Linked DNA regions of Notamacropus eugenii. The protein of the gene in region 2 purifies or fractionates together with the protein of the main gene of each other region. This does not show direct contact. Links are inferred from orthologs where the notes say so. Each region holds a gene or a part of one and is shown on either strand. Other genes may lie near its edges. The genes, in order: COP1 and DET1.

Evidence for each region.
Region 1: the proteins of DET1 (region 2) and COP1 purify together in Homo sapiens (affinity purification with western blotting; 11 studies listed by BioGRID and IntAct, counting the BioPlex papers as one, with this or other methods). This does not show direct contact. The link is inferred for Notamacropus eugenii from reciprocal best matches to the Homo sapiens genes DET1 and COP1.

The regions. Positions count from the first base shown.
Region 1 is NC_092873.1:470,076,636-470,091,866, forward strand, and holds the start of COP1 (E3 ubiquitin-protein ligase COP1), read left to right. Parts: upstream 1-7,825; 5' UTR 7,826-7,976; coding exon 7,977-8,401; intron 8,402-15,231. UniProt on the Homo sapiens protein: E3 ubiquitin-protein ligase that mediates ubiquitination and subsequent proteasomal degradation of target proteins.
Region 2 is NC_092872.1:168,073,809-168,089,209, reverse strand, and holds the start of DET1 (DET1 homolog), read left to right. Parts: upstream 1-9,662; 5' UTR 9,663-9,854; intron 9,855-11,676; 5' UTR 11,677-11,691; coding exon 11,692-12,777; intron 12,778-15,401. UniProt on the Homo sapiens protein: Component of the E3 ubiquitin ligase DCX DET1-COP1 complex, which is required for ubiquitination and subsequent degradation of target proteins. The complex is involved in JUN ubiquitination and degradation.

The DNA.
Region 1 (15,231 bases), on a different chromosome or scaffold from region 2:
AAAAAATAGAATTTATAATGTCTAGCATAATGCTAGCATGTTAATGCTTATTGATGCAGGGACTGATTGGGCTTCTGAAGAAAAAAAGGCATATATACACATATTTATATCTATACATGTATGTATATATAGGTATATACACATATAGGCATATATGAGTATATACCTATGTATGTATGTGTGTATATTATATATACTCACACACATATATGTACATATATATGTATACATGTATATATATATACACATATGTGTGTGTGTATATATATACACATGTGTAGATAGATATTTGAGGAAGTGGTTTCATCCCTTTTGAACTCAGTAGAGTGATAGATCTATCTATGTGTAGTCAGAGACCTGGTGCTACTACTTCTCTGTAAAATATCTATTTAGATCATTGTGGGTCACATCAATGTCCACCAGAAAGATGTCTCATGAGAAGTCTAGTTTTGGTAACAGAGATACTCCAGGAGAAGTATTGTATACTGCTGTGTGATCTTAGGCAAGTCACCTTAGGCAAGCTCACTTTCTGAGCCTCTTAGGACTAAATGATCTCCAAGGGCTCTTCCAGTTCCACACACAATAGTCCTGTAGGATTGGTATTCAGCTTCAAAAAATCGGTTGCACTCTCCTTCCTCTCATACCCTTCCCACCCCCGACTCATCTCTTATTCTTAGTTATAAAGAGTAGCCCTCTGGGACAGGGAAGATGTAGGATGCATTGGGAATTCTAAGTGATATAAAAACAAAATTTCTTCCATTCTCATATGTATATGTATGTATATGTGTGTGTATCTGTATATACTACATAAATTGTTCTGAATACAAGGGTTTTTTGTTTTGTTTAATTCACAAACTTTCAATTCAGTTTAACAAATATTAAGTGCCTCCCACATGCCAGATACTATTCTAGGTTCTGGGGAAACAAGTCATGAAGAGAGCTTCCCTCTTTGCTTCGAGCCAACAATGTATGCAAGCTCAGGTCTTGGGCGTTTGGGGGACGGCAAACTCCCCTTTTTTTTTTTTTTGCTAGCTACATGTGATTTGGCACTGAACTTTCTTTTGAGATGATGAAGCAATCCCTTTATTAGCTACTGAGCAGGAAGAGTCAATGAGTCTGGACCTTTGAAAAGGGAGTGTCTGATCCTGTTTCCCTCTTCTATTAACCCTCCAGGTGGCATCATATAATTCCGAGCAGAGATATGGGAGGCAGCTACATGGCACAGTGGAAAGAGTGCTAGTTCTAGAGTCAGGAAAATCTTAGTTCACATCTGACTCCAAGTAGTTATTGGCTGTGTGACCCTGGGCAAGTCATTTAACTACTGTTGGCCTCAGTTGCTTCATCTGTGCAATAGGCATAATAATAACACTGACTTCTCAGGGTTGTTGTAAGGTTCAAATGAGATAGTATTTGTAAAGCTTTTTGCAAAGTGCTATATAAGTGCTAATTTTTATTACTATCACTGTTGTTGAAGCTGTAGCACTTGTCCTGCCTAAGTGAGCTTGAGATAGGTTCTCAGAGCCCTAGACGACTCTTCTGTTTTGTGTTTCTTTCCTGAGGTGAGGACAGGTGAATGAACATTGATATTGAGATGGAAATGTCTAGACTTGGAGGTGACCTTTTGAATTTAAGAGATCACTTATGAGTTTAAGAGATTCTGGGTCCATTGGATGGAACTGACTGATAGGGAAATTGTTGCATCAGTCAAGACGACCACTGACAGGAGGAGAAACCAAAACTCTGTCTTGGCTGGCAAGTAGAGATAGACTTTGAAGGAACGGTACAGAACTGAGGATAAATATAATAATGCTTTTTCTTAATATGCAAAGTGCTTTATATTCTGATGAAGTTTAAATATAAATTTCCTAGGAGAATAACTTCAGTGAAATTCCTGAATCTTGTTTTAAGTCTTTCTGTTAACGTATGCTTTATATTTGAGATTTTGCATTTTACTTGTTGTAGATAATAAATACCTGTCCTATACCTGATTCATATTTTACTTTGAGTTCTTTTCTCCAGATCTCTTTGGAGAAGGCCTAGACATGAGCCAAACTTAAGCTTTAAGTAAATCTTCCCCATGGCATTGAATTGGGAGTTTTCCTAGCTGAAGATTATGAGAAAAGAAGCTTCACTTCTTTCATTAGAGGCTAGACTCCCACAAGACTGAACGTAGGCCAGAGTGCACATGTGGGTTGAGAGCATATTGGGTCCCTTGATGGAGAGGGTGCAGTAACTCAACCCCTAGGCCTCAGCAGTGATTTTAATTATTACATGAAGAAATAAACATCTATCTCATGCCTGATTTACATTGGACATTGAATATTTTTCTGCTCCACTCTTTGGGGAGTCCCTAGAGATGAGTCAAACTTGAGCTTTAAGTAATTGATCCCAGGGAACCAGAGTTGAGATTTAATGAGTCAAAGAGTTGAGAAAAGGGAGCCTAACTCCTTTCATTGGTCCAGGATCCCTCAGGACTGAACCCAATCCAACTGAGTGCTTGGCTCTAGAGGTGGAGAGGGAGAGGAAAAAAATACCTTGAGTCCCTTGGGCCTAGCAGAGGGTTTTAATTGTTAAAAAAGAAAAAAAAAAACCCAGCCCTTGTCCTCAAATGCTAATATTCTAGTGGCCAGTTAAATGGACTTGAAGTCAGAATATCAGAACTCCTAGTTCAAGTGGTTCTGTCATTTACTAGATAAGGGACCTTGAACAAATTAATTAATCTCCCTAAGATGAGGTTGCTTCATCTATAAAATGGGAATAGTGCTTATACTGCACAGCTCAGTCATTGTTAGAATCCAGTGATTTCATATGTAGAGGGAGCCCCATGTGTGGCAAGGGCCCACATATAGTAAGGGAGTGTTGTCCCGTGGCTTGAAGGGAGGCAGAATAAACACCTTTGGTCTATTCTCTCCCAGCCTTTCATTAAGGGAGACTTTAATTTCTGACAGCAAGGAAGGAGGAAGTTAGGCCCAGAGGTCACCACTCTGGTTTCCTCAGAAAGAGTTGGTATGGAGATAAAATTTTATCTGTCTGCTCTCTTAAATATTGTTAGTCTAGGGGATACAATCAGTTTTAAACTAACTTCTGATTACTGGGGAGAAATAGGACTCTCAAGGCTTGACCCATTTCCCACCAAATACCAGTTCTACAATGAACATCCACAGCAAACAGCAAAAAAACCCCCAATTTATCTAAATTATAACAAAACAGAAATCACCAAAAGTATACACAGGAGAACATATACCAGACAACATGTAGCGAAGGCACTCTCCTACTGGGAGTAATATAACTCAGCTCAACTAAGAGAGAGAATTCTGGATCTCACCCAAGGAGAAACTCTGAAGTTGCTAGGGTAGCAAGCTAGGGATAGGGACATGATAGAGTCTGCGAGCTCCTCTCAAGTTTTCCCAGAGTTTTTTCTCATCAATCTTGAGTATAGTTGGTCTCTTCCATTTTCCTTCTCAAAGCTGGAAGACAGAGCATGCAAAGTAAGGGGAAGCTTTGAGAATCCCAAAGAAGATTGGATGAGAGAGAGCTCTTAATGTTACCTTGTAGGGTTGGGTATTCATCTCCCCCAATAAGGACTCTGTGCTTCAAGCAATGGACTTTGGGACTGCATGCATTCATGCTTCACACTTTGATAACCTTAGAACACTGAAAAGAATAGATGAGGGCCATTATTAAAAGACTTGTGATTTAATCATACATGGCACAAGATTCATTATAGTGTACTATCTTTTGTTTTTGGAACATTTTTTCATTTTTTTTTGTTCTTATTGAATCTATTCTCATATACCTCTTTTATTTCACCCTCTACTCTCCTTATTCCTCCTTTCTTGTTGTGTTTCTGAGTTCCTTTTTTGTACTTTCCTGTTTAGTGACTCTGAGGTTTTCCCTTCTGCTTTCTCACATTTCAAAATCTGCTTTCATGTTGAAAAACTTTTGCCAACAAAAATAATAAGAATTATGTAGCACTAAATTCTTTGTACATTTTTCCAGCTGAAAAGGAAGATGGGGTTGTATCCCATTCACTCATTTCCTTTGAGATCTTAATTCTGAATGAATGAAGATGGCATTTGAATAAGCATTGATAAGGACAATGACAAATTTCCTTAAATGTATTAGTTGGTCCCTTGTTGCTTTCCTTCACAATAATTATACTTACAATTTTCCAATTACAGGCCAGGGAATATATCAAATTTAATATGTCAAATTATGTTCCATGAATCATGACTTCAGGGAATATGTCAAATTATGTCCTGTTAATCATGACTCTAAAAGGAGAGATTTAGAAATGATCTCTAAGGCCTTCCCAATCTTAAATTCTATTACCTTATGAACCTTTCCTGTTCTTCATCTCTAGCACTAGTCTTTTTTATTTGTTTTGAACTTCATCCTCTTTGCTAGGCAGCATGACTTGTATCCTCACCTTGTCACTTTTAACTTCACTCAATCTGTTTAAGTTAAAGTTATCATTTCCCCTCTAACTAGTTCTCTACTTTGGAATTTCATTTCTGTTAAAGGTACCATTATTCTCCCAGTTATGTGAATTTGAAACCTTGGGAGTAATTTTTTACTTCTCCTTATTTCTCCCCCACTATCCAATTAGTTACTAAATTTTCCTTGATTTGTTTCTCTCCTTAAAGTCTGTTTAATTGACTAGACCCCTTTTAATTGTATATTCACTGTCAAGACCCCTAGCCTCCTATGGTAATTGTCTCCTACCAGCTTTCTCTGCCTTCAATTCTTTCCACCTTTCCCCCCATCCTCATCTATTCTACAACCAATTGTCAATATTTTTAATACGTTGTTTATCTTTGCCCTTTTTTGATACCTTCCCCCTAGCTATCCCCCACTACTGTCATGTTTAGAAGATAAATTAAAACTGCTTAGTCTGTCATTCAAGGGCTTCCACAGTATGGCCTTTTTCTATCTCTTCAGCTTTAAAATGAATCCTCTACTATTGTCAAAATTGTCACTACTGCTCTTTGAAACACCATGCACAATCTCAATTTTGTACAATCTTAGCTAGATTTTTCTTTCTCCTTTTCCTCATTTATCTAAGTCTCCTACTTTCTTCAAGGTCCAACTCAAATCTCACCTTCTCCCAGAAGAGGTAACTGCCTGGTATGGATGTCCTTTATGCCTTTCACTTGCTTCCACATACCATGTGAACCAGTGATGCCAGCTTCCCTGCAGTTCCTTGAACGACACCCCATTTCTCTGCTTTCAGTGTTGTCATTGTCCCTCATGTCTAGAACTCTCTCCTTCATCTCCTTCTGGATTCCTTCAAGTCTCATCTGAAGACCCATTTTCTGCAGGAAGCCTTTTTCTATTTCATTTAATGGTTATGCTTTCAAACCTTGATTATCTCCAATTTATCCTAAGTCTTGTAATTCACTTATTTACTGGCATATTGTCTCCCCATTAGACTTGAGAGTAGGGACTGTCTTTTATCTTTCTTTGCATCCCCACTGCTTAGTACAGTGCCTGGCACACAGAAGGCATTTAATAAATACTAGCTGAATTGACTGGACTGTGTGAAAATGTATGCAACATTCCACGCCTAGAGTGGGCACTAAATGCTAGCTGACTGTCCCAGTTACTTCTTTGTACAACTCATTTGATGGCTCCTTCTCCTTCTTCTCATGTATCCTTACATATATCAAGTTCCTTGAAGGAAAAGCTTTTTATTCCCAATATCCAGCATGTTGCCTTAGGTCTATAATAACTTTTCAATAAAATATTAGCTGAGGATACTTAGATTTAGTTTTATATTCAACTTAATTAGCATTAATTTATATTTGACTTATAAAATATCCACTGTATTTTCTATAAAACAAACTTTTGTTCAAGAAACTGCTTTTTAGCAGTACTAAAGTTTCATCTCAAAATTTAAGGATTTTATACAATTAGATCCATTTATGGTGCTGGTGTTAAAAGATTATATTAACCAAACCACTTCACAGCTTAAGGGTTCTTAGCCTTGTGTATGTATGTGCATGTGTATGTGTATGTGTGATGGATACCCTTTGGAAGTCTGGGGAAAGGTAAGGACCTCTTCTCAAAATGTTTTAAATGCATAAAGTTACAAAGGAAGGCAATTATAATGAAATAAGTGGTCAAAATAGTAATTAAACCAATCTATGAACCTTCTGGAATCTATATATTAACCTCATGTTAAGAACTGATGTAGTTGCCAAAGGTTTCACTTTTTTAGAGCAGACTGGTATGATTCCATCAGTGGCATATGTAAATTTGTCGATGATGACAAGCAGCTATATTTTAATTTCATAATATTTTTCTTTGTAGTTAAGGTGGTATTTAGGTATTTTTGAGATTCTGAAAGAATATGGCTGGTATTTCGTTACTCCTGAATGCTGGGGTTAATCCGTAATCCTTGGGTTTGGCTCAATAAGTAGGTAGTAGGTTGGGCAGGTGTGTCCGAAGATATTGGGTGTTACCTTTGTAACAATGTAGTTTCCATAAAGGCAGTCCAGATGACTGCCTGGGTTGCTGGGCCTTCCCACTCATGCCCAACCAAGGCCTCACCTCTCCTGAAATTTGCTTTTCCTAGGGCAAGCACCTAGAGGACTCTTAAGGTCTTCCACAAACTTTGAACAGGGTTCGTTAAAAACTGAAAACTCTATTTAGAGGATCAAAGAAAAGTTGGCCTTGAAAAGGATCTAGCCCAATTCCCTCGTTTAGCAGATGATAAAAATGAGGTCCATCCAGAGAAGCGAGGTGAGAGGCTTGGTCAATAAACATTTATTAAATACCCCCTCTGGGGTAGGCAACTGCCTACCAACCCCTGTTTTCCTGAAGTTTATACTGTAATGGAGGGGACAACATATCAATAAATTTATGCAAACAAGCAACATAAAGGATAAATTGGAGATAATCCACAGGAGGAAGGGAGTAGAATTAAGGGGAAATCAGGAAAGGCTTCCTGTAGAAAGTTCTTTGGGGACTTGAAGGGATTCAGGGAAGCCCGGAGGCGCAGAGGAGGATGCAGAGGTGTGGACTGGAGTGCAGGTCTTCTAATTGCCAGCTCCACCATAGATGTGAGTGGAACTGAAATTGCACCCTCTCCACCACTGAAGGCATCTTTGGCTCTGTACCGAGTCTCGCTTTCTCCGCTGGAACATTCCGCCCGCTTTCATCAGCTAACTTTCCTTTTTGACTCTCGGTCCTTGCCCTCCTCCTCCTCCTCCTCCTCCCCCCTCTCCTCCCTCAGGAATGCTTGGGAATCCTGCGCACGCGCAGTGTCGGAAACCACCCCGTACCACAGACTCCCCTCTAGGTCTCCTCACTCTTAGGAATGAGGATATGCTCGGTTCGTAATGCGCTTGCGCAATCGTTGGCCGATTCGCTTGCCTGGGCTCGGGCACTGTGGACCACTCTCTACTCTGGGCGCTTCTCTTCTCCCCGCCCCTTGCTCACTGCCCTCCTACCCCGGCCCCACTTCCAGTTTCTGCTGTACGTCGTGAATCAATAAAGCTTTCAACAAGGAATTCTTCCGTAGCTAGGCAGTGGTCGCCGCCGCCATGGGTGTGTGTTGTGTGTATGAGCGCGGAGGCTGCTGCCAATAAAGTTGTACCTCTCGGGCTTCCTCCGCCCTCCCCATTCTCTCGGCCTCCGTCTAGAGTGCGCGTGCGCACGCTCTCGCCGGCCTCGCTCGGGGTTGGCTGCCGCAGGACTCGGGGTGGGAGCTGCGGCCTCGAGAGCGCATTTTTCCCCCTCCCTCCCCCTCCCGGTGTTCGAGTTGCCCGGCTTCCTCCCGCGGGCCGCCGTTTGTGTTCGGTTTTTTTTAAACAACTTTATTGTTCCCTCCCCGGTGGCAGCCCCCGCCCCCTGCGCTGTGCGCGTCCTCAGGATGCACTGAAGCTGCAGGGAGGCGGCGGCGGCGGCGGGTCCCGGTCCCCGGTCCCTCGTTCTCTCCTCCGAGTACCCAGCCCGGGGAAGGGGGGGTTACGATGTCCGGCAGCCGCCAGGCTGGTCCCGGCGCTGCCGGGACAGGGCCCAGCTCCTCCGCGGCCTCCTCAGTCACTTCCGCCTCGTCGTCGTCGTCCTCGTCGTCGTCGTCGCCGTCGCCCCCGTCCCTAACGGCGGTGGTGGCCGCGGCGGGGTCCAGCGGGGCCGCCGGCTCGGGGGGCCTCGGGGCCGCCGTACGGCCTCTGCTAGTGGCCGCCGCCGTGTCGGGCTCGGGCGGCGGAGGAGGCGGGGGCGGCGGGGCCCTGGCCGCGGGCCTCTCCCGGCTTGGGGGCTCCGCCAGGCCCGGGAGCGCCGTCAGCGGCGGCGGGGGCAGCTCGGGCGGCGGCAGCAGGAAGCGGCCTCTGCACACCCCACTCTGCAACGGGCTCATCAACTCGTACGAGGACAAAAGCAACGACTTCGTCTGGTGCGTGGAGAAGCATCCCTCCTCCTCTTCCCCTTCTCTCGCTGGGATGGGTGGGATCGGCGGGGAGCAGGTGATGCCCAGCGGTCCGGGGGCCCTCCCTGGGGGGCAGCCCTGGTGGGTGGCGAGTTACACCGGGAGGGCAGAAGAAGGATTAAGAGGAAGGAGTGAGGAAGTCAGAGCTCCCAGTTCAGCAAGTACCAGGCGTAGGAGCTCCCAGACTTGTTGAATGGAATTGAAGTGTGGGAGGGCGTCTCTGGTGAAGTTTGAGAGTGAGGATGGAGGCCCTTGGAATGGCAGTGAACTCTTTGGGCAACCTTAAGTTTATGGAGGGGATGGTGACTAGAGAGAATGCGTTGGAATTGCTCTAAGTGAAAGGGATATGGAGTGCCGTTAGACTGAACTTTCTGAAAGTAGACTATTTTTTTGCTGTTATTTGTATCCCCAGTGCTTAACAACAGTGCCCGGGAATATCCGCGATGCTTCATAAATGGTAACTGAGTGACTGATTGATTACCTGTAGATGGGCTAAGCATTGTTTAAGCTATACACAAATGTACAGGATCTATCACTACTCACTATTAACTCATATTCATCGTCTGTGTACAGTGAATCTTGCCAGTGAGACTATTAGCGTATTTGAAGTCAATGAAAAACTATCTTTTAATGTCTTAGGTGTATTTCAGTGTACCACATATATTGTACATGATGTTAAACACAGTTTGTAGCACTTTAAGATTTATCATAAAGTGTTTATTAAGCATCTAGGTGCGAGGGCCTGTGCTAAGCATTGGAGGTGAAGTGTAAAAAAAAAAAAAACAAACCTGAAAGAAACTGTTTCTGTCCTCATGGAGCTTATGTCTAATGGGGAGATGTGCACATGCCCATATTCAAGTATGCACGAAACAAACTGAAAGTGGTTTTTGTAGGGAGAGAAATAGTGGTTAGGGAGAATCAGGAAAGGCACACAGAAAATGATACTGAGTGGAGTCTTAAAGGATTCCAGGTATTTCAAGAGATGGAAGTAAGAGAGTGCACTGCAAGCACTGAGAGATGGAGCTTCATCATATGTGAAGAGCAGCAAATAGGCCAGCTTGAGTTCTTGAAGAAGAGTAAAAGTGTAAGAAGACTGGGAAGGTAGAAAAGATGATACCAAAACCTTTTGAGTTTAGTAGTATAAGAAGTAGTATTACCATTTTGCACAAGAGGGAACTGAGGCTCACATGGGTGAAATGATTCACCCACTGTCCATCAGCCAGTAATCATGAGAACTGTGATAAGAAACCAGATTCTGATTCCAGTCCAGTGTGGCTTGAGGCGACTGTTGGCACAGGGAGTAGAGGGCTGGGCCTAGACTCAGGAAGCCCTGAGTTCAAATCTAGCCACAGACACTAGCTGTGTGTCACTTAACCTGTTTGTCTCAGTTGCCTCTACGGTAAAATGGAGGTAATAACAAGCACCTACCTCTCGGTTACCCACCTCAATCCTGTCAGGATTGTTGTGATGATCAAATGAGATAATATTTGTAAAAAAGTACTTAGGATAGAAGAACATAGTAGGTTCTTTATAAATACTTATCCCTCTTGCCTTCTCCACTGTATATAAGTTATTAGAGGTTGGATGGTTGTGATTCAAATTATCTGTGGCAATTAATAGCCATGGTTGTTGGTTTTTTTGGGGGGAGGGGCATGGGGCAGTTGGGCTTCACCCCCAAAGAGAAGTGATTGTTACATAAAGAGCAGTTTGGAATTTGGGATTCTCTTCAGTGTCTGTAGTTTTGATACAATGATAACTAAAGTTGTCTAGATTGATGATTGTCGTGGAATTTGGAGGTTGATTTTAATGACTTACATTTGTATAATCACGTGTATAACAATGATCCTTCTACTGATGCAGATTGCAGTCATTTATATCTTAGTAGACTGCCTTCATGAGTTGCTGTAGCTGACAATAATAATAACCAGCCTTGTGGGGATGAGCCTCCCGATTTTGACAGGCTGGTTTTTTGTCTCCAGATTGGTAGTTGAAGCATTTACAATTTAATAGGACCTGCCAAAGCCTGTTCTTCTTTAGCCTAACCTTAAAAAACCCAGTCACCTCCATACCATGAAAAGTAGGACAGAGGAGGAAGTGAATGAGGCTGCTGGAATTCAGATGGGCTGGGTGATTTGGCCGATGTCACATGACTAGTTAGCTTCGGAGGTGAGACTTGACTCTCTCTTTCCTTCAACATTTATTAAGCACCTTTCGTAAGCCGGGTATTATAGACCTTTGGTGTAATACAAAGTAAAAAAAAAAATGAAACAGTGATCAGAGGACTAAGGACTTGGAGAGAATGATACAAAGTTTTAAGTTAGTTACTGTTTCGGTTCTCATGGAATTTACAACCCAATCCTGCAAGCATTTATTAAGTGTCTATTCTGTGCAAGGAGCTTGGGATACAAAGATAAAATGAAAAAATGAGATAAGACACAGACATAGCATCTGTTGACACTATCACTCTCCTCCTTGATACTCTCTTGTCTCTAGGTTTTCTAGACACCCCTCTCTCCTGGTTCTTCTCTCTGACCAACTCCTCAGCCTCCTTTGTTGGATCCTCCTCCAGATCATGTCCTTTAACTGTAGGTGTACTCCCAAGGTGCTCTCCTGGGCCCTCTTCTCTTCTCCCTATGTACTACTTCACTTGGTGATTTCACTAGTTTTCATGGATTTAATTACCATCTCTGCGCTGATGATTCTCCCATCTACTTATCCTACCCTAATCTTTCTGCTGACCTCCAGTCTCAAATCTCCAAATGCCTTTCAGATGTCTTGAACTGAATGTCTTATGAATACCCTAAACTCAATATATCCAAACCAGAACTCATTATCTTTCTCTTTTACATCACCCCACCCCCACTTCTGCTTTCCGTAGTATTGTAGAGGACAATACCATCTTCCTTATTCCTAGTCCCTCAGACTCACAACCTAGGAATCATCCTGGACTCCTAATTCTCTCCTCCTACACCCCACCCCAGTCTTTTTTCCCCTCAGCACTATCATATCTGTTGTCAAGGCCTGTTGATTTCACCTTTGCAACATCTCTTGAATACACCCCCTTTTCTTCTTTGACACTGCCACCATTCTAGTACAGGCCCTAATCACCTTATGGTTAGGTCATTTCAGTAGCCTTCTGGTGGGTCTGTCAGCCTCAAGTCTCTCCCTATTGCAGTCCATCTTTCATTCAGTCACCAAAGTGATTTTCCTAAAGCTCAAGTGCAATGAACCATGTCACTCCAATATTCAGTGAATTCCAGTGGCTCCCTGGTTGCCTTCAGGATCAAATACAAAAGTCTCTGTTCGGCTTCAAAGCCTTTTATAACCTAGTCTCTTTCTACCTTTTCAGTTTTCTTACATTTTACTTCTTGATATGTACTCTTTGATCCAGTGACAGTGGCTTCTTGGCTGTTCCATGAATAAGACACTCCATCTCTGGGCTGTAGATATTTTCTCTGAATATCCCCCATTCCTGAAATGCTTTCCCTCCTCTGCCCTGATCACTGACCTTCCTGGCTTTCTTTAAGTCCCAACTAAAATCTTATCTTTTATTGCAGGTCTTCCCCCATCCCTTAATTCTAGTGCTTTCCCCTCTGTTAAGTATTTCTTATTTATCCTGTATATAGCTTGCTTTATATGTATTTGTTTGCATGTTGGCTTCTCCATTATATTGTAAATTCCTTGAGAACAAGGATTGTCTTTTGCCTCTTTTTGTATCCCCAGTGTTTAGCATAGCAAATAGTAAGTGCTTACTAAGTGTTTATTGATTGATTGAAGTGCATTACAGAGTTGAAAATCAAAGTCATGCCATGTCTGACATGACTAATAAAAGTTTGGGGTAGAAGAGAGAATCAGGGAAAACTTATTGCAGGTTTTCTTAACTCAATCATAGGATTAGAGCAAAAAGGAACCTTAGTGATAATTACTGTAATGATAGCTGACATTTATGTATTAATTTAAAGTTTACCAATTGCTTTACATATGTTACCCTTTAAGCCTTATCTTAATCTGTGAAGTAGGTATTGCAAGAGATAGTATTATTTCCATTATGTAGATGAGAAACCTGAGTGTCAGAGAAAATGATTTGGTCATTGTCACACAGCTAGTAATTGGAATCCAGGTATTCTTTAGTCCAAGTCTCCACTTGTCTCCACTATTCTTTCTGTCTTATAGCTCCTCTAGTGAAATTTAATGATTACTCCATGATACAGCTAGTAGCAGCATCTAGACTTGAACCTTGGTCTTTTGATTCCGAATTCATTGCTTTTTCTCCTACAATGGGCTGCTTTCAAAATGAAGTCATTTTTCCCTGCCTGGGAATTGAACCCTGATTGCATTGAGATCATAACATATGAGCAGTTGGTTGTAAAAAGACAGTGGAGACATGATTACTCTCTAGGTATTGGGAGGGATATGGAAGTAGAGAGGTTAACCTTAGTAAGGCATAAGCCAAGTCTTTATATGAGTCAGGGGTAAAGGAGGAGATGGTGGTAGAAGGCATATGAGTGATATGAGATGAGGAAGAGGGGATGATGAATGGCTTCAATTTTTTCTGTAAAATATGAGGCAAGTTTCTCAGCTGAGAGGGTGGGGGAAATGAGAGCCATGGGAAGTTTGAGGAGGGATGAAGAAATTTGAAAGAGCCACTGTAGAGAGTAGCGTAGTGAGTTCAAATTGAACTTGATACTTCTGATAGGGCCAGGATAGATGGATGGATGAACTAAGCATTTATTAAGTGCCTACTCTAAGTCATACTGTGCTGAACCTTTTAGAAGTATCTCATTTGATCTCACAACAACCCTTTGAGGTAGGTACTAATATTATCACCATTTTACAGTTGAGGAAACTGAGGCAGATAGAGTTTGACTTGCTCAGAGTCATACAGCTGGTAAATATCTAAAGCCAAATTTGAACTTAGATTTTCCTGACCCCATTCCCAGCAATCTATTCATCATGTTATCTGACTGCCTCCTGGTGTCTAGGGACAGTTTTATGGATTGGAAAATGTTACTGGTTTTGGCCGTTGGAATAAAGGTAATTCCTGCTGATAATTTCATTCATTTCTATTTTATCAGCTTTCACTGATGTGTGAAACCACCTTGAGCCTTGAGTGAATTGATACTTTCATTTTGATATTTTCATTGTACCCTTTTTAAAGGGTACAGTACTCTTCTCTTGAATACTAGATAAATTTTAAATGATGTTAATCAGAATTTCATTAAGTGACAGATATGTTACCAATTACAGGGCAGAGAGAAAATGCTACCTAAAGCTGAAGGTAATGTATGCAGTATTACTGTATACCAAAATTGAGACAAACATTTAAGATAGTTTGTACTTTTCATTGTATTACTTATTTGCATTTTGATCATGTGCCATAGTGAAAACTCTAGATCTACAGTGAAAAGATTTCTGTAGAATTCCTGGGTTTGTCAGTAGCTGTGGACAAATAAATCACTTACTATCTCAGAGCCTCAGTTTCCTTATCCATAAAATAAGGATGATAATCTGTACCATCTATCTCATAGAGTTGTTGGGAGGTAAACCATCTATGTATAAACTGTGATTGCCATGTGTTAAAATTATTTTCACATTTCATCTAGAGGTCTTAATGTCAGTGAGAAATAATTTAAATTATGTTTTATAGATATGACATCTGAGATACAGAAGAGAGATTTGTTTAATTCAGAGTTATATTACAATTACTTAGCATAAAAGTAATAAAACAATAATTTATATTTAGCGAGGAAGCATGTAGTATATGTAATAAAGGACTGATTTCAGAATCAGGATCACTTGGGTTCAGATCTCTTACCATCTGCTGTCTTTGTTCCTATGCATGTGCTGCTAAACAAAGCTGGAGAAAATTTTTTACCAAACTATACTGACTGGATCCACTACAAGTTTATGTTACCTAATCTCAGCTGAGCCCTTGCTCCAGCAAGGCAATCCTTTTATGCTTCCTTAATTGACTTACCATCTTACTCATGATGACTTCCAAACCTTTTCATTGCTCCTCACACTTTACATGACTACTCTTCACCTTATTCTTTCAGCTGAGAATTTTGCTATGTATTTCACTGAAAAAACTGAAGCCATTAATGGAGCACCCCTTTTTCCTTTCTTTCCTCATATCACTCAAAATGTCTTCTGGTACTATTGCTTCCTTCACTGCTATCTCACATGAAGAGTGCTCTTTCTCCTTGCCAAAGCATACCCCTCTATACACACAAGGCCCATCCCATCTTCTTTAACATATTGCCACCTATATCATTTCAACTCACTAATCTTCTGTTTCTTCCTGTCTCTTGGCTGCCTCCCTACTGCCTACAAATATGCCTATGTTTTTGCATTTATCTCTCCTCTTGTCTTAAATCTGACCTTCCTTTTGTGGCTAAACTTCATGAGAAGTTGGTCTACAATTAGTACCTTTACTTCCTTTATTCTCACTCTTTTTTTAACTGCAGCCTAATTTTCAGTCTCATCATTCAATTGAAACTGCTTTATCCATAGATAATAATCTCTTCATTACCGAATCTAATGACCCTTTCTCATTCTTCATCCTTCTTCACCTTCCTTTAATCTTTGACACTTGATCATCTTCTCTTTGTTGTTCTCTTCTGTCTAGATTTTCATCACATCATTCTCTCCTGTTCTCTTATGTAGGGGACCACTCCTTCTTATTCTCCTTTTCTGGATCTTCATCCAGGTTGTGTCTTGTGGATGTCCCCCGAGTTTCTGTCATGGGCTCGCTTCTCCCTCTATACTATTTGGCTTGGTGATCTTATCAGCTCACA
Region 2 (15,401 bases):
GAAAAAAAATCTTTGCAGCAAGTTTCTTCTCATTTCCAAGATATAAGGAATTTTTAAAAATAGGAGACATTTCTGAATTGATAAATGGTTTAAGATATCAATAGATAGTTCTCAAGTGGAGAAACCCAAACTATCTACAGTCATGTTCTAAAAATTCTACAAATCACTTAAAATTAGAGAAATACAAATTAAAGCAATTTACCTCTACTAGACTGAAAATATAACAAAAATGATGATAAAGTGACACATGTTGGAGGGACTACCCCAAAACAGGCACATGAACGTGCTATTGGTAGAGCTGTGGATGTTCTAACAATTCTGGAAGCTAATTTGGAATCATACACAAAACGTTACTAAACAACACATATCCTGTTTATACAGTTATATCACTAATAGGCCTAAACCAAAAAAATCAAAGAAGGAAGGAAAGGTTTTATATATACAAAAATACATATAGGATCCTTTTTTGTTGGAACGTAAGGAGGTACCCCAAAACTGAGGAATGGCCTATGAAGTTCTGGTACATGAATGTGATGGAATACTATTGGTCTGTAAGAAAGGAGAAAATAGACAATTTCAGAAAGACATGGAAAGACATGTAGGGACTGATGCAGCATGAAATACACAGAATGATTTATATTATAACATCAATATTGCAGAAATGGACAGTTTTGAAGACTTCTATAAACTGATGAAGAATGATGTAAGCAGAACCAGAAGCATTTATGCAGCAACAACAATAACAATGCTGTAAAAATAAACAACTTTGGAAGCTGTAAGAACTAGGATGGATGGAATTCATGATAATGGAAGACTGATGATAAAACTTGCTATCCATGACAGAGAGGTGATGGATTTAGGATGCAGAATGAGATGTATATAATTTTTGTACATAGACAATGAAGGAATTTATTTTGCTTGATCATAAATATATGTTACCAGGAATTTTTTTCTTTTTTTTTCTTTTTCTCTAATGGGATGAATGGTGGAAGAGAAAGCAGATTTTTATTAATTTTTTTAAATAGAGAGGGGGTAGCTGCTACAGATGTGGCATGTTGCATGCACTTTAAAACAAGTTTTATTGGTATTTTCTATTTCTTACATCACCTTAGTTATCCCAAATATCCAATCTTCCCCTGCCCCCAGCCATCCCATGTTCTTGGCATGTACATTCAGATAAGGTCACTATATTTTCAGTTTAATTTAACTGTTTTTCATTGTTAGAAGAGACCTCTCAAGAAGTAGAAGTAATCTGTAAATATCTGTAATATGAAAACAAAAACACATCAACGAAACAAAATTAAAAGGGGAGGGGAGATAGATCTACTTAAAGTATAGGGTTTTATTTTCACAGGCTCCCATGACCCAGTCACCTAGGAGTTGGGGAAATACCACCAGGTCCTAAGAAAGGTGAGAGCAGCGCATCCCCTCTCTTCATCAGACTGAAAGACCTGGGGAGCTGCAGCCCCTTGTACCTGGAGACAAACATGACACCTGCTTCATATCCCTATCAATAGGCTTTATAGTCTAATAGAAAGAGTATTGCATTTGAAATTTTGGATCCTGGGTTCAAATCTTGGAACTTACTATTTGTCTGACCCTATATTAAATCACAACCATTGCTGATCTCAGTTTCCTCATCTGTAAAATGTGGGGCTTAGACTAGATTCTCTGTCTCTAAAGATCCTTCCTGCTCTTAAACTGTGTGATTGAATGAACATCCTACATCCCTCCTTGCCCCCATTTTAGAAGTTGGTCCTGGGTGTAATTAGTAGAAGATATATAACCTTTGCCTATACTACAGTGATAATAATGAATATTTGTTAACTGACTGGTTGATAGTATTGCACAGAGATGTCTGTGCATTCATAGAAAACTATGAATAGGAAGTTCAAAGGGTGGTAGGTAGGAGGGTCCTATGGTAACTAAGACCAAAAGAAATGCAAAGATGCTCGATCACTCCCAGGGAAAATATACACAATTTTTTCCTTAGAAATCATTTAGGCTGATAAAAGGTTTACTTTCCTGGCTTTTTCTTCCAATGATCCTAGAGTACCCTGGGGTCAGATGGGTTACCCATGGGGTTCTTAACCTTTTTATGTGTGTTAAGGAAACGGATACCAGTGGCAGTCTAGTGAAGGCAATAGATCTTTTCTTCATAATAATGTTTTTCAATGTAACAAATACAATGCGTACTATTACAAAGGAAACCAATTATATTGAAATATAGTTATCAAATATTTTTTAAAAGCTCATAGACCCCAAGTTAAGAACTTTCCCATTAAGGGTTCTTAAAAAGACATTTTGTTATTTGATGAACATTTATTAAGTACCTAATATGCATCCAGGTACTGTAGATTAATTTTGGGGGCTAGACCTGTGACTTCCTTCGACTAGAGATCTCTAAATGAGGAAAGTCTTGTTACTAATGCAGATCAGCACTTGCTTTTCAACGTATAGTCTTGGATAATTGCTGGGGTGCACTGAGAGGTTAAGTGATTTGCCTGGGGTCCCACAGCCTATGTGTGTCAGAGGTACTATTTAAATTTAGGTTTTCCTGACTTTATGGACAGCTTTCTATGCATGATGCCAGGGGTTCTTACCATAGGGTCCACAAAGAAGTCCTTGAATAGATTTCAGAGGATTAGTGAGCTTGGATGAGAAAACAAAATCTTTATTTTCACTAATGTTTGCTTTTCTTTATAATTCTAATTATTTTATTTTATGCATTAAAAAAAATCACACTCAGAAGGGGTCCACAGAGATCCACAGGGGTCCACCAGATGGCTAAGGGAGTCCATGACACAAAAAAAGAACACTCAATTATACTGCCTCTCAGGACCTGGAGATATAAGACAAAAATGAACCAGTCTCTGCACTCCAGGAGCATTGTTACTAATGGGTTTATTACTGGAATAAATGAGTGGCTTCTTGGGAGGTGGGAGTCTCTAGGCAGCTTCCTTAGGTTGATGATGCCCTGAGAAAGACATGTTTTGTCTGTATCTCTGCCCTAGCCATCTCTCAGACATTCAAACAGATATTGGTGTGCATAAATAAAACAAAAGACTATTTTCTATGGCAAAGTTTATTAAGCACAATTTTTATTAAACAACATTCATTATTAAAATTAATAGGTACATATACCTCCTTAGTATACTTTTTTATCATGATTATATGGAATTGTATTTTTTATTATGATCATATGAAATTGTATGCCTTGTATCATTTTTATATGTTGTAGGCAGTCTGTCATTATATATAATACTGTATGCAGACATATGAAATTCTTCAGGTCAACATCCCCTGCATTGACATGTTACCTTAGTTTGTCTATTTCAGAACCAGTTAGTAGTTTTATTGCTCTCTGTTTGGTATTTGAACCCTGCTCAATGTTTAGAAACTGTGTCTCTCTCTGCTTAAAAAGTGCTCCCTTTGTGTGTTACTTTCCATTAGGAGTTTTGAACTTTTGCTAAAATACATGGGGCTTGATTTATCACAATGTAAATGCTTTATTGGTAAGTTCCCCCCCTAGAATGTAAGCTTCTTGTGGGTAGGGATTGTTTCATTCTTTATATACTATAACCCAATGCACAGGGCCTGGAATATGAGGAATATAATAAATGCTTGTAGATTGATTAACTTTTAAATATCAGGTATACTCCACTACCTATCTACCCTACTCCACTCCCAAATCCTGAATGTGTAAAACCTGAGTGGGAACTCTAAGCAGCGTTACTTTTCAGGATATACTTATAGTCCCAGACCTTTACAAGTGTCTGGGGATTTAGATGGAGTTTCACAACAGAATCAGGCCAGTAATGCATAGGTTTCTACTCACACAAAAAGAAGCTCAAAGCCCCAGATAGAATACCCAGGAGCAAGACAAAGCAGAAAGAATACAACCTGAGTGGTCTGAAGAACTCCCAGGCAGCTTGATTTTGGGGAGAGTTACTCTTTCAGAGAAACAGTCCCTCAGACTCATCATATCTATCTCCACCAATCTCCAACTGACTCCTAGCCAGTTCAGGATGTCAGAATGTCAGTCATCACTGAAGTCAGAGTCAGAAAGACTGGTCTTCAAATCCTAGCTTAAATATTTACTGGGTGACTGAGTAAACTATGGAGTTTTTTTGAGCCTTGGTTTCCTGAGCCACATAGTGGAGATTATACTAGCATCTGCCTTACTGGGTTGTTGTAACAGCTGTTGGACCAATTTTTAGTGGGGATCTAAACTACTGTACCCCATAAGGTCTTCAGCACAACCCCACTCAACCATGACGTTAGTCAAATAGTTGCTACATTCTACTTTAGACCCTCACTAAGCATGCTGTCTGTCATGCAGCTGTGACATAAGAATCAAACGTAAGCGAGTAGCAAAAAGCTAAAGAAATTTGAACTATTTGTACCAAGGTAGCTCCCTGTGGTAGCTGAAAGCCATAGGCTTTATAAGAAGAGACAGTTTCTGGAGGGCAAGTCTGATTGGTTTCCTATCTCTGACATCCCAGGCAAGGATGCACTATGTGTTAATTAATATAAGAGGTCCGGTCTGAACCAACTAGGACAGAAAAAGTGGGCATCTCCAGTAATCAGATTGAATCTACCCTCTAAGTAGAAGTTATCTTCGTGGCCTTATGGATCTCAGAAAGAACTACTCCATATACAGATATTTCCTTTCAAAGAATATAGGGATACATCCTATATTTAGACCAAAATAGAATCTCAGGGCCGTAGAGGGCATAATTTTCTGGAATTTAAAATAGACTTACTTATCAAAATATAACCCTTGAATCAGAGCTTCTTCCAAGACAAGAAAGAAACTTTAAAGGGATTTCTCAAATCTCTGGCTCATGGCCACTACCTAGAGATTTTGAGATATTCACTAAATGACACCAACCATTATGTTGTTATCAGTTCCCCTCATAAGCATAAGCATAAGCATATAGTACACAACACTCAAAGATGGAAAAATATATTTACATGGACAAGAAAACAAATTGAACCCTTTGTGAATAGGTAACAAATCAACACCTGCAAATGAACAGCCCCTTCCCCAGTGACCTGTACAGACTCAGTCCCTTATAGTCATGAACTAGGCATAGAACCTGTCTTCATTCCACTGCTGCGCTCTGAAATTCCCAGCCACCAGGATCAGGGATCACTCTTCCTGTTGCTCTCCAGAAAGGTGCTGGTCACCACAGCTCCTGTAATTTTCCATGTCTCCTGGCAGATACTGAACATATCAGATAGCTCCTTTTCTGAGGGTCAGGAGTGGGGCAATAAGAGAGAAGCTTCATTTTGTTCCAGTCTCAATGAGGCTCTTGAAAGTCTCTCTTGTGGCAGATTCACAGCTCAAATACAAGGCAGACTAAGTAGTCACTAGTGACTGAAGCTTTAATTTTTAAATTTTCACTATGGTTATGATAGTCCTGGCTTTACAATGAAACTTGCCCGGCAGTCAGGAACATAAACCCTCCCTTCTCACCTTTGAATGGGTTTCTGTTATTGATATGGGGTTAGTTCAGGGCAAAATTTATTCTGATATCATGTATTCTCCAGTTTAGGGCATTGTGTTCACTGCCTACAGATTAGCATTGCCCACTAGTAGAGAAGTTTGGTTAACTGGATGGATTATTCCAAGTACTTTTGATTGTTTCCTGCCTTATTTAGAGCAAGGAGGTGAGTGATGGAGGTGAAGTACCACTTTTCGCCCCTCCCCCCTCTAGTGTTGCTGTATATTAGGGAGATGGCTTCTACTACAAAAAGTAACATTAAAAACCTCTGTCTCAGATATGTTGTACCCTTGGCAGCTGCCTACCTTCCCATATTCTAATTCTAACTATGCTAATTTCCCAGCCACTGGGCATTCAGGTTGTGTCTAGTATACAAAGTCAAGTGCAAGTCATGTCATTATTTCTCTGATGGCATGGTCTTCTTCAGCAACGAAGGAGGAACACACACACACACACACACACACACACACACACACACACAGTATTTTGCTACTATGTATAATACAGCTAAATAGAGAGTTAGCTTTAGAGTCAGAGAGACCTCCGAAACATAATGACTTTATAACCGAGAACAAGGAAGGTATTTAACCTCATAGTGAAGCAGGCAGCTCTCTAAGAGAATAAATTTCACAGGAGTCACTGATCTACATTAGTGTAGGAAATTCCCCCAACCTATGAAATTATAGGTCTGGATCATACGACCTCTATAAGGAACTTTGTCCCAATATTACCCCCCCCCTTAAGTGTTTCATTGGAATATAGTCTCAATAATGAGATTACTGGAGCAACGAGCACCATCCAGTCTTAGATGTTTTGTTTCTTACTACCAGATTGCTTTATAGAAATATTGCCCTACTTTATATTTCAAGAGGTAACTATTTCCCTACACACCTACCAACAATTTTGTTTACTTTTTCCATTTGAATATGTGTAGGTTAATGGACTAATGTTCATTGATAAAAGAGGAAACACAACTAGTAAATATTATCTGTTTATAGCCTTTAAACATTGAGGTAAAGACTTCAAAGTCAGATTCATTAGCTAAGATCATAACATAACTTGAGATCATAACAACATAAGGTTTTTGGAAGAGACCTTAGAGTCCATCAAATATATTCATCTTACTCTGAAGATGAGGAAACTGAGGATCAGACAGTGATGTGATTTGATAGCCCAAGGTCTCGTACTGATTAGCAACAGAACCAGAACTAGAAAATGTGTTTTCTGTCCTTTACAGAAATAAGAATAGTGGCAGGGACAGGATCTGCGATTTTACTGCTATAAAGATCTCCTGTATGTGGTAACTTTTTGTACTATTTCAGTCAGTCTTAGGGAATTACCTAGAATATTGCGAGATTAAGTGACTTGTCAGGAGTCAGAGAGCTAGTGCGTGTCAGAAGCATTGCTCTGAGAGTAAGGTCTTCATCTACTATGCCACAACTGTCTCTGCAGAAATATGGAGACAAATAATTGAACTGAGACGCAGTGCTCACGATTGGACTATGCAATTTAATAAAAAGACAATAGTACCTAAAATAACTTGTAGTTTAGTGCTATACCACACTACCCAGAGAATACTTTCTAGAACTAGACAAAATAATAATAAGTTCATTTGGAGGGACAAAAGGTCTAAAATTTCAAAAAAAAAAAAGGAAAAATAAGAATGAAGAAGGTATAGCATTATCTTTGATGCTAGTGGTCATCAAAATTATTTGGTACTAGCTTTAAAAAAAATAAACCAGAACAGTAGACTAGTGGAACTTACTAGATAAACAAGTATCAGAAGCAATCCAGCACAGTAGCCCTGTATTCTATAACCACAAGAACATAAACTACCAGGGGATGCATTCCCTAGTCTCCAAGAACTACTGTGAAAAGTGGAAATTAGTTTGGCAGAAAAAGGGTCTCTGGAACTTTAGTAGCTGTGATTACTGAGGAAGCAGGGGCTGCAGCCCCTGCAGAGGAAGTTGCCAGGTTGCCAGTCTCCACATTGGTTGACCCCTTCTTTGATGGCTTACAGGGCCAGTTTGGAAACAGTGGTCTTTAGGGGTTGGGGAGAGGGACTTGGGGAGACTACTGTTCTAGGGCTCTTGGGTTTACCAGCTGGATAGCAGTTGATAGTGATGGATATGATGGCCCCTTTTCCCACAAGGGCTGCCCCGCTAGATGATCAGACTGGGCAGACAGACTGGAAAGGGACAGTAGGGGAGAGTATTCATTTTTTAGGAGTCCTTAGGTGAAGTGTCTTGACCTGTCTCCACTGGGATCTGAGGGAAGGAGATGCTTCAGGTGACAGCTATGGTTTGGTTTGACTGGCAAGTTCCATCTCTAGTCTCTTCCTCAGGTTACTTTGCAGGCTTGATAAATCCACGACTTTTGACAATTGTGGGCTGGGGTGGTTAGAGAAATGGGCATCTGGGTGGTACAGTGAATAGACTACCAGACCTGGAATTAGGAAGATTCATCTTACTGACTTCAAATCTGCCATCAGATTTGACTTACTAACTGTGTGACCCTGAACAAGTCACTTAACCTATTTCCCTCACTCTCCTTATCTGTAAAATGATCTTGAAAAGGAAAATGGCAGACCACTCCAGTAACTCTGCCAAGAAAACCCACAAAGAGTCATATACAACTGAAACAATCGAACAACTAAAATATGGTCAGATAAAGCTATGATAGAGGAAAGAAGTTTGAACTAGACTGTTTCCATATTTGTCTTTCTATCCACAGCACATAATAAAGTGATTAGCATATAGTAAGCACTTCGCCTATTTTTATTAATTGAAACATGGTGAGTGTTTAAGAACCAGTGAACAGACCATTCAGGCTAAATCTGAAAGTTCTTTCATCTATGAGATCAGTAGACTATAAGACTGAGGAGTCTAGAGACTAGGAAGGGCTCAGAAGTTTCCATTTTATCCTAGTAAGCAATGGTAGCCATTAAATGATGGCTACCTTCAAGTTGTATCTTAAAGAGATTGATCTGGCCAAGAGGAAACTCTTGATCAAATGGATCTCTGATCTCATTGATTTGGAAGCCTTTCTCTATTCAGATTGCAATCCATTCATGCTTGACCATTTTGTATGACTTGCTCATGTCTTGCAAAAAATTCACCACAGAAGACCCCCCTATGATGCTGGAGGTCTTTCTTTTTAACATTGGGAAGGTAATAGTGGACTACTCCAGATATGTAGCCATAATCCCACATGACATATAACCAGCCCATCTGATTTTCCTGGCATTTTTATTCTTGGTCTTCTTCCAAGTTCATCATTGGTCATATATTATAGCTTGCTCACAGCCACTGTACTTTTCTCTATTTTCCTCTATGTGATTGTCATTTTTAACTCCAGAGAAGAATAATGTTACAAGAAATATGTTACTACTATGTTTCAAATCTAATAGATACTTAGCAATATCCAGAGGATATTTATAATGCAACCTATGAGGTTTGTCCACAAATATGTATACCTGAGACAGACAATACTGACTGACAAGTTGGGCAGAGTTGAACAGGAGGACCACGAGCTGATTTCCTTCAGGAAATTACAAAGTTACTTTAATGACCCAGGTTCCCATGAAAGCCAAGGGCCATGCTTTACTTTTAAAATTAAACATATATTTTAAAATTCATTTTTATTTTATTATACACAATTTATTTTGCTTCATTATTTTATTATATTTTCAGTTCTGAATTCTCTCTCCCCTCCCCCGACAATCACCCATCTCTTAAATATCAGCAGGCTCTGGGCATTGCTACATTGTAACAAGACATGGAATTGAACGGTGTCTGAAGAATCAAAACAATGAATGTCATACAGAGGGTAATTAATGACGGGTGATGAGGGGGTTAGGGTTGGAATCCTGGCTCCACTAGCAGTGTGACCCCCCTCCTCTGGGCCTCAGTTTTCTCATCTGTAAAATGAAAAGGCGTGCTTCAGCTCCGCTCCATCATCCTGTGCCCCCAGGAGCAGCAAACAGGCAACGGGAACGGCTGCTAAGGAGGGAGTCAATTTCAGCAGGCGTGGTCGCTTAGAGCTCAGGCGGGCTCACCTCACCTCCGGACGCCAGGGGGCGCGCTCGCTCTTGCCGGGCAGGCGATGGTGCGCTCTCTGCGCACGCTTCCAACTCTATGGCCCTCACTTCCGTGGGCCGGCTGAGGGAGGGGGGTGGGGGGGAACGGGGCCATCCCGGCCGTTGTCGCCGGGTGCCGGCGTCAGTGGCAACATGGCGGTGGCGGCGGCGGCCGTGGCGGCCGTCGGAGTGCGGCCAGCGCAGCCCGGGGATCCCCTCGCCCCGGCCTCATGAGCCCGGCGCGACGGGGGGCGCGGGACGGACGGGTGAGGACGCTCCCCTTCTCCCGCTTCGTCGGCTCTCTGGTCCTCGGGCCTTCCTCTCGGCCAGCGGCCCCCTCCTGCCGGCCGGGCCGCCCGGACCCTGGGCCGCGCTCCTCCCCGGCCTCCCTCCCCCGGACCCCCGCGCCCCGAGGTTTAACCGAGCCCCAGCCCAGCTGCCCCTGAAAGTCGTGCTCCCCGCGGGCTGGCCTCCCCCTTCTGGCGGAGCCTCAGGGCTTAGAGCGGGAAGGGCCCTCGGAGGTCAGCCGGGCGTAAGGGCCGGGGCCCGGGGCCCAGCCCCGGCCTTGCCTGGCTTTGTGCCCCGCACCACGGTGTTCCCGGACTCCACCCACTCCCCGCTTTCCGTAACCTTTGCCGCCGGCTCTCTCCTCTTCTTGGGGAAATGGGGAGAGACTGCCCTTAAACCAACTCCTCTATGGTTAAGTCTGGAAAAGATAGATAAGAGAGGCAGGGAGATGTCATGGAAAGAGAAGCCGATTGGGAGGCAGAAGAGCTAGGTTCATACCCGTGCAAAGTGCCTCATTCCCCTCAGGACCTTAGTTTTTTTTTTAGTCTATGAAAAGGAAAGGGTTTGATTAGATCAGGGTTTGCCAGTCTGGGGTGGAAGTACCCCGCCCCCCCGGGGTGTGAGCCTCTCGTTGAGGGGTTTGAGGGAATAAGTGGTAAATATCTTGGCTTTTTTATTGAAATAGTCCAAAAGTAGTGGTATTAGTGATTATTTTATGATACTAAAAGTGTTACACGCTGAATAAAGTGTTCTGTATGAAAAACGAGTCTCTTTATTTCTTACATGCTCTTGCATGGTAAACTCTAGAATATCTCCTTTCATATTGAAACTGAAAGGTTTCCTTAAAGCCAAAGAATATCACGAATGAAAAAGGTTGAGAAGCTTCTTATTCTAGATGATCTGAGGTTTTGTTTTTGTCTTAAACTATCTCTGAATCCTATGATCCAGTGAATTGAGTTCCAGAGTCTTAGTAATTTAGAAAACCAGCATGGGGGGGAGAGTTTTAATCAGAAGCCAGGGGCCTCTTCCCACCACTCCAACATCCTTTTTGAGGGGTTGAATGCTGTTGGGGGGAGGCGGCAGTAGGACATTGCGGAAAAAAATGGAAGAAGCACAGTATGAAAACAAGAGGTTTATGAAACTGTTTCTGAACTTTCATCTTGGCTTAATTTTGAGTGATTCTCTTAGAGTAGAAGAGCAGCATAAAAGGGGGTAGAGTGGGGGAGAAACCAAACTCTTGTCATGGTCTTTAAATCAAATAGTGTTTTGCATGTAATAATTCCTAGTATAGTTCTTCATAAATAGTAAGTGCTTAATCACCAGCATTTATCAAGCATTTATTGTAGTCCAAGTACTATGCATAGTAAATGTCTTCAAATGAAGTTAAATTTGAATTAATGCTTCTTAAATCATTCTTTAAAAGTCTATGCTCTACATTGGGGCTACTGATAATGTTAAGGTGAGAGCAGTACTTTAAAATGACTTCATATGTTTTAGGGAAGGGAATTCTTAACTGGGAATTCTTACTCTGAATTCACATATTCTGGTGATTCAGATGTTTTTGATGGAAACACATTATAGCTAAGCGTTCTTGAGATATTTCTAGTGTGTTAAGCTCTTCCCATTATTCTCATGCTGAGGACAGACTTGAAGTTTACTCTTGTTTCCTTGTGACCTAAAGGTGGAAGATTTTAGGTAAACCCTGAGATGATGTGTGTTTGGAAAGGGAACTTGGGTTTTTGGTTTGTTTGTTTGTTTTTTTTTCATTTTATGTGTGACACTCTGCTCTTAATCATCCAGAAATAAGATGCTGTGATGATGGATCATGATGTTCCAACAATCAAACCTCGAAGAATCCAGAACCAAAATGTTATCCACCGCTTGGAGCGTCGGCGCATCAGTTCAGGCAAGGCTGGTACCCACTGGCACCAGGTTCGAGTGTTCCACCAGAACGTCTTCCCCAACTTTACTGTGGTTAATGTGGAGAAGCCACCTTGCTTCCTGCGAAAATTTTCACCTGATGGGCGCTACTTTATTGCCTTTTCTTCAGACCAGACATCACTGGAGATTTACGAGTACCAGGGCTGCCAAGCAGCAGAGGACCTACTGCAGGGTTATGAGGGTGAAATTTTGGCTAATGGCAATGACCAGAGGTCAGTCAACATCCGAGGCCGACTCTTTGAACGCTTCTTCGTCTTGTTGCATATCACCAATGTTGCGGCTAATGGTGAACACCTAAATCGTGAGTGTAGCCTCTTCACAGATGACTGCCGTTGTGTCATTGTGGGTTCAGCTGCCTACCTCCCTGAAGAGCCTCATCCTCCTTTTTATGAAGTTTATCGCAACAGTGAGTCAGTGACACCAAATCCCCGCTCCCCTTTGGAGGACTATTCCCTTCATATCATTGATCTTCACACTGGCAGGTTGTGTGACACCCGCACATTCAAATGTGATAAAGTGATCTTGTCCCACAATCAAGGGCTATACTTATATAAGAACATACTAGCCATTCTTTCAGTACAGCAGCAGACCATTCATGTCTTCCAAGTCACTCCTGAGGGCACCTTTATTGATGTCCGTACCATTGGTCGATTCTGCTATGAGGATGACCTGCTCACCCTGTCAGCTGTCTACCCTGAGGTACAGCGAGACAGCCAAACAGGCATGGCCAACCCCTACAAGGAGCCTTTCATTAATTCCCTAAAGCACCGGCTACTGGTATACTTGTGGCGCCGGGCAGAGCAGGATGGTAGTGCCATGGCCAAGAGGCGCTTCTTCCAGTATTTTGACCAGCTACGACAGTTGCGCATGTGGAAGATGCAGCTTCTAGATGAAAATCACCTCTTTATCAAGTACACTAGTGAGGATGTAGTGACACTACGGGTCACAGACCCATCACAGGTATTGGATGATATTCAGCCATATTGAGAGACTGAGAATGAGGGACCATACATATTTGCTGTAGGATCTTAGAATCCTAGCTCTAGCCCTGGAAAGAACTCAAAAGATGGTCTAGTCCAGCCTCTCTCACTTTACAAATGAAGAAATTAAAGCCCAGGGAAGTTAAATGATTTGCATAAAGTCACATAGGTGATGAGCACCAGGGGTGGGATTTGAATCCAGGTTCTATGACTCCTGAATGTGTTCTTTCCGTTATGTCTGCATTTGCCTGTTTTTGCATTGCTAGCTCAAGGGACCTGGCATAGTCTTAAATTTTGTTTACCTTTGGTTTTACAAAAGCCAAAATCAAGTTTATATTTTTCTAGCTCTATTTATTTCCTTGAGTGGATTAGATAATGTTTAGAAATTCCTTTTCCTTCCCAAGATTCTGGGAGATCTCTATAATGCAGATACATGCTAAAACTCTGTCCTTTTGAGATTTTCTTGGATATGTGTCTCATTTCATTTTGATGCGTCTGGGGTGATTGTATTTTCAGGGTTCTCCGGAGAAAGGCCAAAAATTTATTAGCAGTAAAGCTTCTGCTACCCATGGATAATTTGTCCACCTTGAGTGATTTAGCTCTACTAATGGGGACAGACTACCAGGGTAAAAAGAAATGTTCCAATAATTGGAAATCTCATTTTCACAATTCAGTAATTAAAATGTCAGCTCCCTCACTAGACTTTTCCATAAAGCAATTAATAAACATAATTTGGTTACTTTGAGTTTCACCTCTTTTTACAGAGTTTGCCCCCATGCTAAAAGAGGGACTACTGAACATTGAAAAAAATCAAAACAAGTAAATGAAGTGCTTCACGATTCACAAGCTCTTTTATTTTGAATAATCTGGACTGTATGTGAAAGGGCCACTACATTGCTAATCTTTTCTCATATTAAGTAAAATTGATATCTAGCTTCTTGCCTATTCAGTTTTGGTGAAAACTGGCTTATTCACTGTTTTGAATGTGCTTATAGGAAGAAGAGAGCTCTCAAAGATCAGTGAGATCAGTTAAGTTTTAAGAGTACCCAAGGACCTAGGAAATAATTTATTTGAAATTTGATCTTGGAGTAGACTGCCTTTCTTCTTGGAATTTGCCTTTTTTGAATTTGACAGATGGAGAATTCAGCTCGCCTGATGTCTGTGCTATTTGCCTTCCTAGTGTTATATCATTTCATAAATAGTTCTGACCCTTTTGTCCATAGCAGGGAAAAAAACTATATATTCAGACCAATGATCTGGAGTGTAAGTTCTTAACGATTTTGGGTCTTGAACTCCTCTGGCAGGCAGATGAATGCTGTGGACTCCTTCTCAGAGTAATGTTTTTAAATACATAAAATAAGATGCACAGGATTATAAAGGGAACCAGTTATATTAAAATAGTGTGATCTAATTTTTTAAAGTTCATAGATTCTAACTTAAGAACTCCTAGCTCTAGATCTTCTTGTTGACCACGTTTCACTACTGGAGGTCTTTGTAGGACTCAAAAAAGCTTATTAGCTAGCTTATGGAAAAATAATTTCAATCTCCTTCCTTTGAGAGTAGTGGATTATTTGTTCTATAAAAAGATTCAGTTGTTAGTGGAAACTATCATGATCATCCCAGAAATCTATTTTCTTCCCCATAGTTATCTGTTGGTGAGCCCATTGAATCATTATTAGTGAACACTTATCTTTTAGAATACAGTGCTCAAAAGATTTGCTACACAGTCCTTTGCTCCTTGAACCCTGTCTGTCTTTACTTTTCTGAAAACCTTAGCTGAAGAAAACCCTGTTGCATATTCATGTAATTCATGTAATAATCACTTAACATGCATAGCTAAATTCCCTTTTTTCCTATAATATCTTTGTAAAACAACAAAATCAGAGAGCTGAACCAGATTTGTAGAAAAGATACATATAAGACAAGATGTGAAGCAAGAAAACCCATTATTTAGGTTTGGGTGATAATTTTCATTTTGGTGATAAATTGCCAAATCATATTCATCACAATCGAATTATCCTTTGATCCTTAGCTAAAACACCCCCTCCCCTTTTTTTTTTCTGGACTGATATGGAATAATCATGGCTTGAGAAATTAGGATGCTAGGGTACAGTTCTTTTTCTACATAATTTGTGACCTCAGCCTGAAACTTCTGTGCCTACTTCCTGTAAAATCAATCACTTTCTGTGGATATTATGAAGATGAATGAGTAAAAAGTACATTTAAATAAGGAGCCTTGGGGTAGTATTTAGGAAATTGGTCTCAGATTGCTACTCAGTTTCTTTACATTATAGGCAGATTAAATATCTTGGCTATACTAAATGTCACATTGTAGCATGAACTATTTGCATCAGGAATGGGTAATGGAGATTCAGATCCAACCCAAGTAAAAAATACTTAATGTCTGATAACTTTATCTTCCTCTATGAAACCAAAAGATGATTTTTAGTTTGGCATTCCATTGACCTTGGAAAAATCCTGGGGCTCTCTTATTGTCAGACTGATCAGAGCAAACTAAAGAACAGTTTGAAAGAATTGGACATCCAGGTGCCCACTCTGAAAAAGTCTGAACTCCCAACTTGCTCTGGGTACTTCCACCTGTGG